Drosophila melanogaster: one gene and its partners. The protein of the gene in region 1 purifies or fractionates together with the protein of each later gene. This does not show direct contact. Each region holds a gene or a part of one and is shown in the gene's direction. Other genes may lie near its edges.

What was found.
Region 2: the proteins of Spc25 (region 1) and Sf3a2 purify together in Drosophila melanogaster (affinity purification with western blotting, with the first as the bait; one study listed by BioGRID). This does not show direct contact.
Region 3: the proteins of Spc25 (region 1) and Nnf1b purify together in Drosophila melanogaster (affinity purification with mass spectrometry, with the first as the bait; 2 studies listed by BioGRID). This does not show direct contact.

What each region holds. Positions count from the first base shown.
Region 1 is NT_033777.3:12,958,611-12,963,751, forward strand, and holds Spc25 (Spc25), read left to right. Parts: upstream 1-3,134; 5' UTR 3,135-3,225; coding exon 3,226-3,352; intron 3,353-3,415; coding exon 3,416-3,632; intron 3,633-4,106; coding exon 4,107-4,431; 3' UTR 4,432-4,639; downstream 4,640-5,141. Other genes in the region: grsm (granny smith), read right to left, coding at 462-618, 683-1,707. UniProt on the Drosophila melanogaster protein: Acts as a component of the essential kinetochore-associated Ndc80 complex, which is required for chromosome segregation and spindle checkpoint activity during meiosis and mitosis.
Region 2 is NT_037436.4:12,811,932-12,816,756, reverse strand, and holds Sf3a2 (splicing factor 3a subunit 2), read left to right. Parts: upstream 1-2,737; 5' UTR 2,738-2,849; coding exon 2,850-3,644; 3' UTR 3,645-3,729; downstream 3,730-4,825. Other genes in the region: CG42588 (uncharacterized protein), read right to left, coding at 1-558, 1,877-2,225; Sap130 (Sin3A-associated protein 130), read right to left, coding at 3,928-4,077, 4,141-4,248, 4,307-4,477, 4,537-4,807.
Region 3 is NT_033779.5:807,875-812,627, forward strand, and holds Nnf1b (Nnf1b), read left to right. Parts: upstream 1-2,702; 5' UTR 2,703-2,771; coding exon 2,772-2,884; intron 2,885-2,934; coding exon 2,935-3,147; intron 3,148-3,214; coding exon 3,215-3,329; intron 3,330-3,384; coding exon 3,385-3,558; 3' UTR 3,559-3,657; downstream 3,658-4,753. Other genes in the region: Dbp21E2 (DEAD box protein 21E2), read left to right, coding at 3,762-4,622, 4,688-4,753.

The sequences.
Region 1 (5,141 bases):
GGACACCGGCAACATCATTTGCTGCCTGCATTAGTGGCAAAAATGTGAATTCAATCCCAGTGAATTGTTGCCTTTAATGCGATTAAAAGTGACAGAAAGGCCAACTTGCCAACTTGGCAAATAATTGTAGCCTAGCGGGTACAAATCAGTCCATGAAGCTGATAGTTTCAGTAAATATCACTCTCTACATTATTCAATGAAATCTATTACATTGTGCTGTAAATGTGGTAATTGAATGAGTTCATTGTTGTAGTCTGACTTTCGATGAATAGGGAAACCAAATATAATTCAAACCCAATTCTATATATGCTTGACCTAAATCCTAAGTGCGATCTAATTGTAAACAATAATCAAACATTCCCACGCTAGAACAAATTTAATTGATATAATAAACAAAAATCACGTGTTGGGCACATTTTTATCAAAACAGGGCGCTATGCTAGCTTTATAGAATGCCTTACCTGTGCTCCAGTCAATGTGGCCATGTCGAGAATAATGTTGGCCTTCAGATCCTTGTTGGCGTAGCAAACGCCATCGGCGAGCACCAAGCGACCCTCGGCATCCGTGTTATTGATCTCCACTGTGCGGCCCGAGTAAAGGGTGTGAATGTCATCGGGGCTGCAAAGTAAACGCATTAGTATTTAACTGATCCATTGAATGCTAAACTAAGGGCAAAACCCACCGAGTGGCATTTGGTCCGACAGAGTTCTCCGCCAAGCAGAAGACGGCATGCAAGTTATCCCTAAATCCACACTGGACAGCCGCGTAAAAGGTTCCGAGAATCGCCGCCGCTCCGCCGCAATCGCGCTTCATGCCGGGCATGCCGGTCTTGGCCTTGATGCTGAGGCCACCGGTGTCGTAGACGATGCCCTTGCCGACCAGAGCGATAGTCTCCTGGGCGCCCTTTGGCTCATGGGAGAGCACAACGAGGGCAGGCGGCACAGCCGCAGCTTTGCCCACGCCGTAAATGCCGCCAAATCCTTGCTCCAGCAGCTCCTCGCCACGGATTACTTTTGGCGTAATGCACAGCTCCCTGCCCACATCCTCAACTTCCTGGATGAAGTGGTCCACGTTCATTTCGTTGCAGGGCATATCTACAATGCGAGCAGTCATTCGAATTGCCCGTGTGGTCTCATTCAGGCAATTTAGCTCGTCGTCTGTCAAAGGCTCGCTCTCAATGCAGCCATCCTTGTTGATTAGCACAAACTCAACATTGACTACGTTGCGTCCTGAATTTGCGTTTCCATCTCCACATCCAAGATTTAGCTTTGGCTGACTTGAGGCCAGCAGATTGCCCGTTTTGCGGGAATAGAGTGGAAAAGCGCGAACCACCGCACAGGCGCTGGCGAATAGATTCTCTCGTTCGCAGACGAGCACCACGCTCTCCTCGGAAACGTTCAGCACATGGTTCTTTACCAGACGAGTGATGGCATGAGCCCGGGATGCCGTATTGTGTCGGGATGCCTTCAATGGCAGGGCAGCCACGGTGGCCACATCGAGATAGAGGGATACCTTATCGGTGGGCGCGGGATGCAGACAAGCGACGGCATTCAGGAAGGTCTCCTCGGTGACGCGCGGACTGAGTTTGCTCTCCAGATGACTGAACTTCAGTAGGTTTAGATGGCGCAGCTGGCCGATGATCAGGACCGGATGTGTCTGCGGATCACTGCAGCCTAGCGACTCGTTAAACTTTACGTCCGTGGCCATCTGTAAGAGAATGTGTGTGCGAATGAGTAAAGAATGGAATGGCTAGCCAAATCCCAGTGATAAGCCGCCGGTATTATCTTATCGGTGCTAATCTGGTGTTTAGCGCTCCAAGTGCCCCACTTGCTTATCAGTCGACGACTTTGCACCACAGGGGCGGTCAATGGATGCAGCCATCCATAAATCACGAGAGCCAAAACCGGCGAGATAAGCAGTGGCATTTGGGTTATGGGTAGGGCCATCTGGACAAACACAGGGGCGTTACTCATCGGTTGCAAGCGGATGCAACGCTGTAGGGGAAGTTTAAGAATAGCTGACCCATATTAGAATGGCTCAATTAAAGTAGCTCCATTGTGAAAAATACTGCAGTATAATTTTATAACTAAAATTCTAATAAAAAACAATCAATCAATAATTATGTTTACAACTAAAAAGCATTGGGTTCATAAAATGAAGCTTCAAAAGAAAAAAATTACCTCTAAAATATTTTAACTATAATAATCACCTAATATACATAAATATAAATTGTATTGCATTTATAATGAACAAATTAAGATAAATTGTAGTAGCAATATGAATTCTAATAATTTACATAACATTTTCTGAGTTTTAGCGAATATTAGAAAATCTTATAAAATCAAATAACGTTTTTTTTTACAAATTATTAATTTTAATATATTTTGGTACAATAACTTAACTAAGTAGTTAACATTTTCAACTTAAAGCCATCAATTTTCCAGCTTTACAGTCGCAAGGCAATAAAAACATAAACTACCGAAAAGATATCGTTCAGCACATATCTTTACGATGCTCCATAAACTCGCATGGGTTTTATAAGCACGATATCATTGTGCATAAAGCGATTTAAGTTTCTTAAAATCGCAAATGCCACATGACCTTGAATTCGGTGCAACAAGAACAACAAGTGGGTCGTTGACCGACTCGCAGCATTCGAAACCGAAAAGTGGATAAACATCTAATTTACCCATTTTCAATTGGATTTGACTGGACACTCGATATGTAGAAATATTATGCAAATTCTATATTCTCTATTTTTAGACTCTTTGTTCGCGATTTCTTCGTTTGCAAAGCGTTTTTTGCACATTTTCTGCCTTTTTATTCGCTCACCTTTTTGAAGCGGGCGCTGCTGTAGGTGCGAGCGAGATGGTTGCGTATTGCCTGGACGCAGAGCAGCAAACGCATGAAGTGCCTGCTTCAGAAATTGCACAAAAATTTGCCAAAAGTGCCGACGTTTTATTTTTATTTTATTTTGCTGCCAATTTGACTTGCAATTTTTTGCTTGCCGGCTAATAGAGATGTGACTTGCACGACGATAAGTCGATGTCAGCTATCGATAAGTGCAGAACCACTTTTTTCTTTCAGCCTGGCCACCCTGCTGGTGTCGTGGAAGTGTCATCCCTAATGAGAAGTACCACCACTAACTGGAAAGCAAAACAAGCGTCTGGAAAACGGCGCTTAGTTTTTAAAGATTTTAATTGATTGCAGTAAATTGAGTTTAAAATGGCAATTATTATGACTGAATCGAGTTACGAAAGGCGCGTAAAGGCTTTGTACGAAAAACAAATTCACATGGAAGCCCTCGAGGCGAAATTCATCAAAAAGGTCTTTAAATTCAACAGCAATTTGTGTGAGTTGGAATTTATCTCCATATATCTCCATTTCAATTGATATATTTCACTAAATATTTTAGTGGATGTCAAGGAAGCAGCTTCGCGCCATCAGCGGAAAGTGGGAAAGTTGCAAAAAGTGCTCATGGAGCGGCGGGAGGAGTTGGACAAGCGAGTTTCCTTCATAGAGGAACTTGATCGAGAACTGGAGGCCACCAAACTTCACAATTTGGCCATGAAAGATTGGTTTAAACAGCAGAAAATGCTGGCCAAACAGCGCAAAAACGAAATCATGGAAAGGTCAGGGATTAGGTCAAAGATAATCATATTAAGATTTTCTTAGCACGAATGGCTAGCTAATATTTTCCGGGCTCCAATGGGTTCGATCTTGTCCTTATTATACATAAAAATGACTATTCATATTGATTTTTAGTCCATCCAAAACTACTATTGGTACAAATATATGTATATGACAATAATGTATTGTCAACATTTATGGTCTTTACATGCGTACAAGTTGCAGTGAGAGACTAATCAAATACTTTATTTACTTTAACTAAATCTATTAGGAGCATCATCAAAGTCTATAAACTGCAAATAATAGATATAGTTGAGGTCGTGTTCCAAATAACTTATTTAGCTTACATACATAATTTATTTGCATAGCCTCACATGCGCTCTTATTTTTCAAACAAATCCGATTTTAATGCGGTCAGTTTTAAACTTAGTATACTATAATGAGAGCAATGTGTGTTTATTTGTTTTATTTTATAGCATTCACACGCTGTCGAAGACAACAAGAACCTATATAAATCAAGAAGCGCTGCCGGCACGTGTGAAGGGTGTCACTGTACTCCGTGGCGATAAACGCGACCAGTTGATACCCTTTGATCTGAAGGCGACCGATGTGGAAGGACTGGACTCACTGTGTCAGCATCTCGAGAGTCTAAATGTGGACGTGGCGCAGTGGCAGCAGCTTATCTCGCTGGCCATGGACATGGCTATGGAGTCACGTGCTCCCACTACTCCGCCCAAGGAAGCAGACAATTGCAAGTCTATAATCGAGATTGATCTCACATCGCCGATGAGCCACACCTGACTTCCGATTAACTGATTTACTTGGATTAGGGGGAAGACCCTTTTCCAATGGAGCACTTTATTTTAGCATTATAAATAGTTGGCTTCCAATAAAAGCTCAATTGGGAATTCATCTTAACGAATTAAGCATCTTATTATAGCAGTTTTTTAGCCATTTAAGTACTGCTTGTAATTGTTTAAGTGCAGTGTAAATTATACATATATCTCCCAAAATTTTTTTTTTTTTCTTTTTTCTGATATATCATCTTCACTGGAAGCTTAAAAATTTTTAGAGATATCGCCAAAGAAGAGATATCGCGAAAGGCTCCAGTTTAAGTAGTTCCAATTCAAACTTATTCAAATTAAAAACCAGTTATTGAATTTATTTTAAATCAAAAGTCTTCTTATCATATTTAACCAAATTTACAACTTTAGTGATAATTATATCATAAATTTGGTTTAATGAGTTCTCTATTACTATAAGGTTTTATATATATTTCAAATGTTTGGGTAATTTCCTTATAACTATATCAGAACAAGACCTGTTTTATTAAACACCTTTCTTTAAGATTTGTATGATTATCTGAGAGCTTTTGACATGGCGGCCGGTGTTAATCGAGAAATCTCGAAAGTCACAAGCGACTCAGAGTGCCACCGACTAACCGATCTATGAATAAACAGCGATCCATATAGATTGGCGCTGCTCAATTGCTATTGTCCGGCGAAAGTTAG
Region 2 (4,825 bases), on another chromosome or scaffold:
TTAGCGGCGGTGTTGGACTCCTATGAAGTTGTGTGGGAACCGTAGGAGCTGCTCGAGCTATAGGAACCTCTGGAGGTGGATATGGTTGGCTAAAAACATTCGTAGTTTGCTGTACTGGAATCCTCTGTGGACTTGGGGAAACTTGATGCACTGTCCCGTGCGGGTTCACTAAGGGACTGTCACTCGATACGCACATGGCTCGATGTTTGGGCAGCTGATTTACCAAATTGAGCAAAAGTGGCGGCTGCTTTTGTCGGACAGTCAAGTCCGCCTTGGCAATGGACATGGAAGAGGCTGCCGGAGCTGGGGAAATCCCGCCACTGCGAGGAGCTGTTTCGTGGCAAACAGGTGGTGGCATCTTAGGCGCTGCTTTGGAAGTTGTGGGCTTCTGCTGAGCCTGCGTGTTCGTGATTAAGCTCTTGTTTAGTATTCTGTTCTTTAATAGCGCCTTCACTTGTTTGGAACGGTCACCATCCGTTGGATTTGGAGTCGGCTGGATGGGCACTATCTTCTCGATGTGTTCCGAGATCATAAAACGCTTTACTAGAGGCTGAGGTGCTAAAAATTATAAAAGTGAAACATAATTAATAAAGGAAACTATAAGCAGAAGAACTTAGGAGCAAAGTTAAAGGAGCACAGTTTTAAAGCGAAATAAGCCATCTTATACATAAAAGATGCAATTCATTGTTAAAGCAAACATTAAATAAAACCATATAGAGCATGTATTAGCAAAAACAATCGCACACACAAACGGCAGTTTGACCGCAATGGGATTTGAACCCGGGCCAAAAAGGGAATTATGTTGCCTCGCATCGACGCTTCGTCCCTAACCTCATTTTGAGCGCGCACTTGACGATTGAACCACCGAAAGAGTACGAATTGTTGTGGCACGAGTGGGTCTTGAATCTAGTTTGCCAGACGAGTAGTCAAAAAAAATATTTACCCTTTCAAGGGTATCATATTTATGAATTAAGCTCATTATCCCTATTTTACAATTAAGTGTAAAATTTTATTTGCTTTTGACCAATTAAATTTTCATAATTTATGGCTTTACGTAGTTAGTACTCTATCACACAACAACAAAAATTAAATGATTATTGATTAAACTCATTATTCAATTGTTAAAATTTAAAAAAAAGTTTTCGTTAAAAACTTTTTGTGTTACATTTAACAACAACGACAAAAATATTGAAGTGTTCTAGTATTAGCAGTATATTTCATCTCATTTCAAAGAAAAGTACCAACTAATCTAAATGTCCCGAATTAATTTTTTTTTGGTTTTTTAAATTTATTTATTAAAAGAATATTAAAATATACATAAAATATCCTTGTAAAACATGTGATTCTCTTGGCTTATTAAAATATCGATCGTTTTAAATAATTAAATACCAAATTATGTTATTCAATATAAATTTTATTGGCAGTATGTTTTGGAAATAATAACGTCCTGTTTGACAAGTGAACATATTGTAGATGTTCAGATACAGATACAGATGGTTAGCCATCCTAATATTTCTAACCTATAGACCTGAATTTTTAACAAAAATAGACTTTTTTAAACTAAAAAAAATTATTTTAGGTTGCCATTCGAAATACGTAAAAAATAAAATATATCGAGATACACGAAAAGAAAGTGAAGGCGCCGCACTCACTGCGAGACGAACTCAGAACAATTAATACAAAAACTAACTCTTTGACAATCTGTCGGCGTCTCAATCAGTTGCACCATCGTTTTGGTTTTCGGTACTGTGCCCAAAACTCGTAGAAGCATTTAGACGATTTTCGTATCACTTGGTACAAAACCCCTGGGTTTGTAACGGTTTTTTGGGCGATGCACAGCTTAAAGCAAATATATATATATACAAGTATGCATTACCAGGCTGACGCAATTGTTGTTGTGGCGACTGCAATTTGCTCTCTGGCGCAGTTGGCGTCGACTGCGCTGCGGCAGAGGTGGAAAGACTGGTGGACGATGGGGCGTCCACCCTCTTGGCATCCAGCTTCTGCTTCCTAAGCACCTCGGCCAGCTGCCTATCGAGTCCAGCCTCCTTGAGCTTGTTGAAATCCAGCTGAATCTTCTTAATTATTCGCTTGGGCGGAGCTGCAGCAGTTTTGGTGGCGTGTGGAGGAGGGGCGCTGGTGGGATTACCGGGCTTCGGTTGATTAGAAGTGGTGGTCATTGGCGCCGGTGGACCCATGATGACCTGTTTGCTGGAGTTGTCCATTTCGCGGTTACTTTAAAAATCGCATAAGACACTGGCACTGTTTATTCCACGAAAATGACGACAGAAATCGAAATTCTTAAACACTCGTTGCTTCGATTTTTCTCAAGTCCGACGTAATCCACGCAGTGACATTTAAATAAAACACGCTTTTCGAGGCCTAGTACTTGTCACCAACACTAGTTTACTTTAGTTTAGATCGCTGTCTAGACATTTTTCACTTTTTAAATTCTAAAAAAGATCAAGCATGTGCAGCTCGAATTAATAGTGTGACCGCTTTGAAAAAGTAAAATATTCTCAAAGCTTCGGAACGAAAATATACCAAAATATTATATGTAATTCTTTAAAAAAACATCGCAAAAGGAATATATAAGTTATTTTATGTATATTACAGTTTGCAAAAATTTGACTATCATTAAGAATTTTAATGGATTTATGAAACATTCTATTATTTATTTAATACTTTAATCCTGCACACGAACTATCGATTGACTCTGATAAACTACCACCCCTAACCGAATTGGCGTTTCTTGACAACCCTGTTCTGTACAACAAATTTTCATGAAATTTTACCAACGCAAAACGTTTTTCCTTCGTGCGGTTGAAAACTAAAATAAAGTTTACAAAATGGACTTCCAAAACCGCGCCGGCGGCAAGACCGGCAGCGGAGGCGTAGCCTCCTGGTCGGAGACGAACCGCGACCGCAAGGAGCGACTGCGTCAACTGGCCCTGGAGACAATCGATCTGAACAAGGATCCGTACTTCATGAAGAACCATCTGGGCTCCTACGAGTGCAAACTCTGCCTGACGCTGCACAACAACGAGGGCAGCTATTTGGCCCACACGCAGGGCAAGAAGCATCAGGATAATCTGGCAAGAAGAGCCGCCAAGGAGGCAAAGGAGGCACCCTCTTCGCTGCTGGCGCCCGAGAAGCCCCGCGTGGAACCGAAGAAGTTCGTCAAGATTGGACGACCCGGCTACCGGGTGACCAAGCAGCGTGAACTCAGCAACGGCCAGCAGTCGTTGCTCTTTCAGGTGGACTACCCGGAAATCACGGAGTCCATTGTTCCGCGTCACCGCTTCATGTCCGCCTACGAGCAAAAGATCGAGCCGCCAGACCGCAAGTGGCAGTACCTTCTCTTTGCCGCCGAGCCGTACGAGACCATAGGGTTCAAGGTGCCGTCCCGCGAAGTGGAGAAGAGTGAGGGCAAGTTCTGGACGCACTGGAACCGTGACACCAAGCAGTTCTTCCTTCAGTTCGCCTTCAAGTTCGAACCTAAGATCCTGCCGCCACCGCCGCCGAATCTACATAGGGCACTAGGCCCCCCAGGCGGATTCCCCATGCCGGGACCGCCACGTCCTGCTATGCATCCCATGTTCAATGGCGTTCATCCACCGCCACCCATGCTTTCAAACAACTAATTCATCGACAATGTTTACGGGATTTCTCCAAACGCAAGCCGATTACCACAGAAATATTCAAATAATAAACAATTTTCTACTTAATACAACTCGAGGGTTTTTGTATTTGTGTTTCTAGCTTAATAAATTGAAAAAATATTGCTGGTTTTCTTTGTAGCTGTACGACTTACAAATCGATCGCGTTTAAGGTAATTATCTTGGATTCTATAATTTCTGCTTAAATTAGGTAATGTACAACTTATTAATACACACTTGGCTGGCCATCTCCGTTCGTCAATTACTTTTAGATCTTTTCGCGCTTCTTGAAATTCCTTTTCGAAGCGCAGCGGGTGATTATATTAGAAACGTGTGGCTTATGCTCGAAGATCTTCATTAACTGATTCTGTGCCTCGTTGATGCCATCGGTAATAATCTTGCTGCGTTGAATGTTTCCCTGCAAAGTAAATTGGTTTTATGTTGAGATTCAAGCATAATGGATATAAGTATAAGAGCGCACCTTTAGCAGTTCAGTGACTCGCTCAATTTCGCTGTGCTTCTCCTTGTCCTTTTCGAGATCCTGCAGCATGGTCTCCAGCCTGCCCAGACTAAAGACTTCCGATTCATTCTGTAAGAAATCAGTTCAGTCAAAGTAGCCTACCAATACTTTCGTGCCCATTGCTTACCAAGTCCTCCATTTGCGAGCGTAAATGATAAATTTTCCATCCATTGATTTTGCCCTGCACATTTGGCTGATTGGCCAGATCAATGACTGTGGCCCGCCGCTCCTCCCTTGGCTTAACATCAGTGTACCGATGAAAATGATTGTTGGCCAACTTATGTGTGGGCTTATACGTCTGTAGATCAACGGAATCATTTGTTAACTACCACAAAATGAACTGAACCTTCAACTTACATTGAGCAAAGCACAATTGCGCGGACGACGAATCACAAAGTCGACGGGATTTGCGTTCTCCTTGTTGCCCGCCACAGCAGGTGTACTGTTCCGGTGGTTGGCATCGCCTGGCGCACTGTTGGGAGCAACACCCGGGGTCGCTGCTGTCACCAGTAGTCCTCCATTGTTGTGCTTCTGCATGTACGAAGCGCCAGCCGGCGGCGTTGGCTCCGAACTTGGAGGTGGCAGCGATAAGGATGCTTGACTCTGCGTAGAGTGCTGGCTGTCATTGCTGGCAAATACATTATCA
Region 3 (4,753 bases), on another chromosome or scaffold:
ATGAAGGACTTACATGTGTAGCTGGAACTCGGTTTGCATACCAATTGTCTGACGCTACTTTCGACCATTGTACTTGCGTTTCATTAGTGTTAATCCGCAAAATCGGTAGGACTACGGCTGCCATATCCAGATATGTGCAGATACATATACACAGCCTTGTATATGGCGGCAGCTGTGGTTTCATGCATTGTTCTAATGCGTGCTTAAAGCGCATTTCCAGCACGCATGAGTGCCCACAGTTGCGGTCACATGAATAGTGGTCGGCTCCTAACCATCGATTTGCGCGACAGCTTGTTAGTTCAGAAACTATTAAAAGTCGCTTAACTCAGGCAAATTCTGCACAATTGATCTACATATGTGTGTCAAGCACACGTAGGCGACCTCCACTGTGGATTTGCATGCGAATGCAGCTCCCAAATTCACGAACAAAGCACAAAGCACCACTCGACAAATGCGCTGTAATTCGAGGCGACAAGTATGCAGCGAAAATTTTAAATGCATTTCACGCACTGCGGCTGACGCACCGCTCCCCCAGCCCCACACCCCCTCCCACCACTGGTATTTTCCCAGTGGTTCTCCATTCCTGTCACGCCCGCAAGTGTCGCCAAGCGACGGCTGCCGCTGCCAGCCAGGACCCACTGTTGCACACAGGACGAACAGATCAGAGCCAAGCCAACATATCCGCTTCTCATCGATATTTAAATAGCGCATAATCAAGGTGATGATAACACTATCAGCAAATGGTTATAACACACTGATGTTCTTAAACTAAGAAAACAACAATGTACGTTTAGAAGCCTAAAAGGATAAGTGTTTCTTTCAGTGCAGATGGCGTTGACTTGATTGGAATTTGACCAGAATTTCGCCCACTGGCAAAATGGAGCATCAATTAGAGCCAAGTGATTTATCCAATTTGTAGCAGGAGAAACCCTTGACAGGACGACACGAGACTTTCTGATTAGTAAAATAAAACTCGAATAACTTTTTAGCAATCTGACGTCAAAGGATCAGACACGAACGCTCGGAATTGAATATCCAAAAGTTTCTTCTTTCCTCGAGATACAGCTGAACTTTGCTCAAGAACTGATTGCTTTATGTTATATGGAAACTCAGAGGAATAACTTTCTCAAAGGGTTTCTAGGTAAGTGATATGAGTTTATTAAGAAGAAGTATTTTTTCAGAACTTAACATTTTCACTAATTAAAGAGAAGACTTTCGGGGAAAGCATATTCTCTCTTTTGAGCAGGACAAGCGCAAACAGTGTGAGAAATGCATAGTTATTTGGATTGGTATAATTCAGAATTCAGAATTCAGAAAAGTATGCAAAACTTTGTCTCAGAATTTAGGCTCATTTGCATACCAGTCGCACCACAAAAAGTCAACATCTCCAAGTTTTTCACACCATGTGCACGAGAATAAGAATATTAAAATCGCATCTTGCTTGAGGTGTTCGCTTTATAAAGCCATTACCAACTATCCGAAGGACGAAGGCGGGTGGATCCTGGGCGGTGGTTCCTGAACAGTCCGCATGTGTCGGCCGGCATTTTAACACTTTAATCATTGAAATGCAAATTCGGAGCCGAGTTTTAGCAAGACATGCGGCAGAGTGGCACATGCATGTTAACACGGCCACCGACTGGCACGCCTCCTGATTCTGCTTCTGTTCCTGGAGGGGACAGCTCAGGATTCTGGCCGGGATTTAGCATATCTGAGATCCGGGCCACACAAAGAGAAAATGTGTATCGAAACGGAGAAGATGCTAGTGGGTTTTTCAAATCTCACTTAATGGTGCCTGAAAGTATGCACCAAGTTTTGAAAAACATGTATGTCCCATGGGTAACAATGTTTTCCGGGTAACAATTTCGAACTTTCCACCTTTTCATTTTTGTGGCATTTATGGGTCGTTATAAGATTGATGTCGAAATGATTTTTCCTGTGCAGGGGAGAGCACATTTCGAATTCTGCCTACTCCACAGCTGAGTTCCTTTTCGGACCCGGAAAATAATGGAAATGCCGGACCCGGCGAGCGAATAAATTAACCTGGATCGCATTTATATTCGAAAGTAGTGGCTCGGTGATGCTTAAACCTGAGTTTGCCGCAGAATGCTTCCTTTATTGCACGTAAATAAAGTCATAAAGTCATCATTACAACCGCGCCAACGAGGAGCACACGATAAGGAGCACAAAGGACAAACTTTTGTGACTGCGATAAAAATTCGCAAATGCGCACAAATTACTCAAAACATATTAAAAACTGCGTCCCCGCCTCAACAATTTGCCCAAAACGTTGCACAAATTAAAAACCCTCTCGAAAGAGCGGAGATAAAAGGAAATTCCATTGTGGCAAGTTTTCCCGATGTGGCAAACTGCAGTGAAAGCACAACTTTCGGGGAAACTGAAAAGTGCAGTTATTGAGTGTTAGTTGCAAGTTCCTTCGCCGATGCGACATGTGAAAAGTTGTGTAATTCAGTTCGAGAAATACACTCTGAATGTGGCGTAAAAAATGAGTTCAATGTTATATTGAGTGTTTTCGAAGTAATGCCAACTTACCAGATTTGATGCTTGAATTTAACCAATTAGCCAATAACCGTTGTTTAAAATAATTTATACAATATATATGTTATCATAATTGAAAGCAGCTCGAATACCCTATACCTACAATCATGTCATATAGGGGTTGGTATTCACAACCTATCTGTAAATGGTCACATATGTTTTCGGTCGCCAAGTTTTGCTTGTAATTATTATTTTGCCAGAATTGTGTTAAAAGTATGAATAATATTGAAGAGGACACCGAAGCAGCCTTCAAACGGCTCCAGGCTGTCATTCCACAGGTGAAGCAGGCCTACGAGGAAGCCATTGGACAGATCTTCTCGGATTTAAAGTAGGAGAATGGCTGATTAAAAGATTGACCAAACGCTTACTATTGCTTAGCTCCTCAGATCTTGAGTCGTGTGCCTCCATCCTCGAGGAGCACGAATCCACGAGCCTGGACACCGAGCAAATAATCCACAGCACCCGTCGGCTTATGACCAAGATCGTCCTGGATGTGAACCAGTGCTTCTTCTCCGGCAACGACGTGGAGACCAAGCTGACCACGCTGGAAATGCTTAAGGAGCAGTTTGCCGCCCACGAGGGCAAGAACTGGTTAGTGAATGGTTTTGAATTTGGTTGTCCAGCAGCACTTTCCATGGTTTTTAACGTAAATCCGCAGGAACTTCAACTGTCTGTCCCCTGAGGAACTTACTCGCCCTCTGCGCATGCACAACTTGAATCTAAGCATCACATTCATGGAGCAACAGCTTAAGAAACAGGAAAAGGAACTCGAGGTATGTATTTCAACCTCCGAAGAATTAAGTAATACTTGGATTACTTCGATTTTAGATTGCTATGGCCAAAAGCATTAAAAATCGACAGCTTATACATGATGTCCACGCTGAACGGGTGAAAGTGGGATGTATGATGAAGCAGCAGTTGGCCGAGTACCAGGCCATTAAGCCACAGTTAATGGAAATGGAACGGCTAATAAATGATTCGTATGTGCAGGAAGAAATGTAATTTTATAAAAAAAAACAGATTATTATTATTATTATTATTATTATTATTATTATTATATTAGTTGCTGGGTCTTGAAATAAATATGAATTTCAAACTTACCGCCACAAGTGGCATTGAATTCGAGCGGCGCTTTCCAACACTTCGATGCGTGTGCACAGCTGACTTGCCGGCAAATGAAAAACATTGAATAATATTCCGAAAGCATGCTGAACTTGTCCGTGGTGCTCCGGGTGCAATCATCGCGCCATGTGGCTTCATATGCCACAGCGGCGGCGGCGGCAGTTAAGACGAAGCCACCAAAGGCAAAGTCCAAGGGCAAAAAGCAGAAGGGGGAGCCCCTAATCTCCTGCAGAAGAAGCCAGTTCGATTTAACCCAATACGAGCAGACGGATGCCAAGTTTGGGAGTCTTTCGCTGGCCTCCAAGGGCTGGCTGCACAACAAATCCAAGGGAGACTTCTTCATCCTGAACGCCAGCGTGCGAGGTGAGGAACTCCAGCAGGAAATGCAGACCGTCGATGAGTTCCTCGAGAGCACGGGGATGCAGATTCATCCGCAACTCCTTGAGAACTTGCGAGTCGAGCTGGGCATCAAATTACTGACGGGAATCCAAAAACAGGGAATGCCCGTTGTCCATGGAAATGAGCACTGCCTCATTGCCGCTGAAACTGGGTGTGGAAAAACAATTACATATCTCCTGCCTATCGTAGACAAACTCCTCCAGAAAGAAGTGGTCACCGAACGAAAACTCAACACCCCCCGTGTCTTGATCCTCACTCCCGGCAGAGAACTAGCCACGCAGATTGCTGGGGTCACGGAGAAGCTCACCCAGGGCACCAATCTCAAAGTGCAATCTTTACTTGGCGGCAATACCAAGCAGCTTATGATGAACCCACAGTTCGAGGAGGTGGACATACTGGTCGCCACTCTGGGTGCACTTAGCAAACTGGTGACCACTGGCATCTACCGCATGGAGCAGGTTCGTCATCTGGTTCTAGACGAAGCGGACACCCTCCTAGATGATACGTTCACAGACAAACTTTCCTACTTCCTCAGGAGATTTCCCGTAAGTCATTCTAGGCGATTACCAAAGGAATGGCTTCAATCAGCTTGTTTTTTCTTATTCGACAGTTCCACTTGGTGCAAAAGGAGGATGCTGGCACCCAGATGATCCTGGCCTCGGCCACCATGCCCACG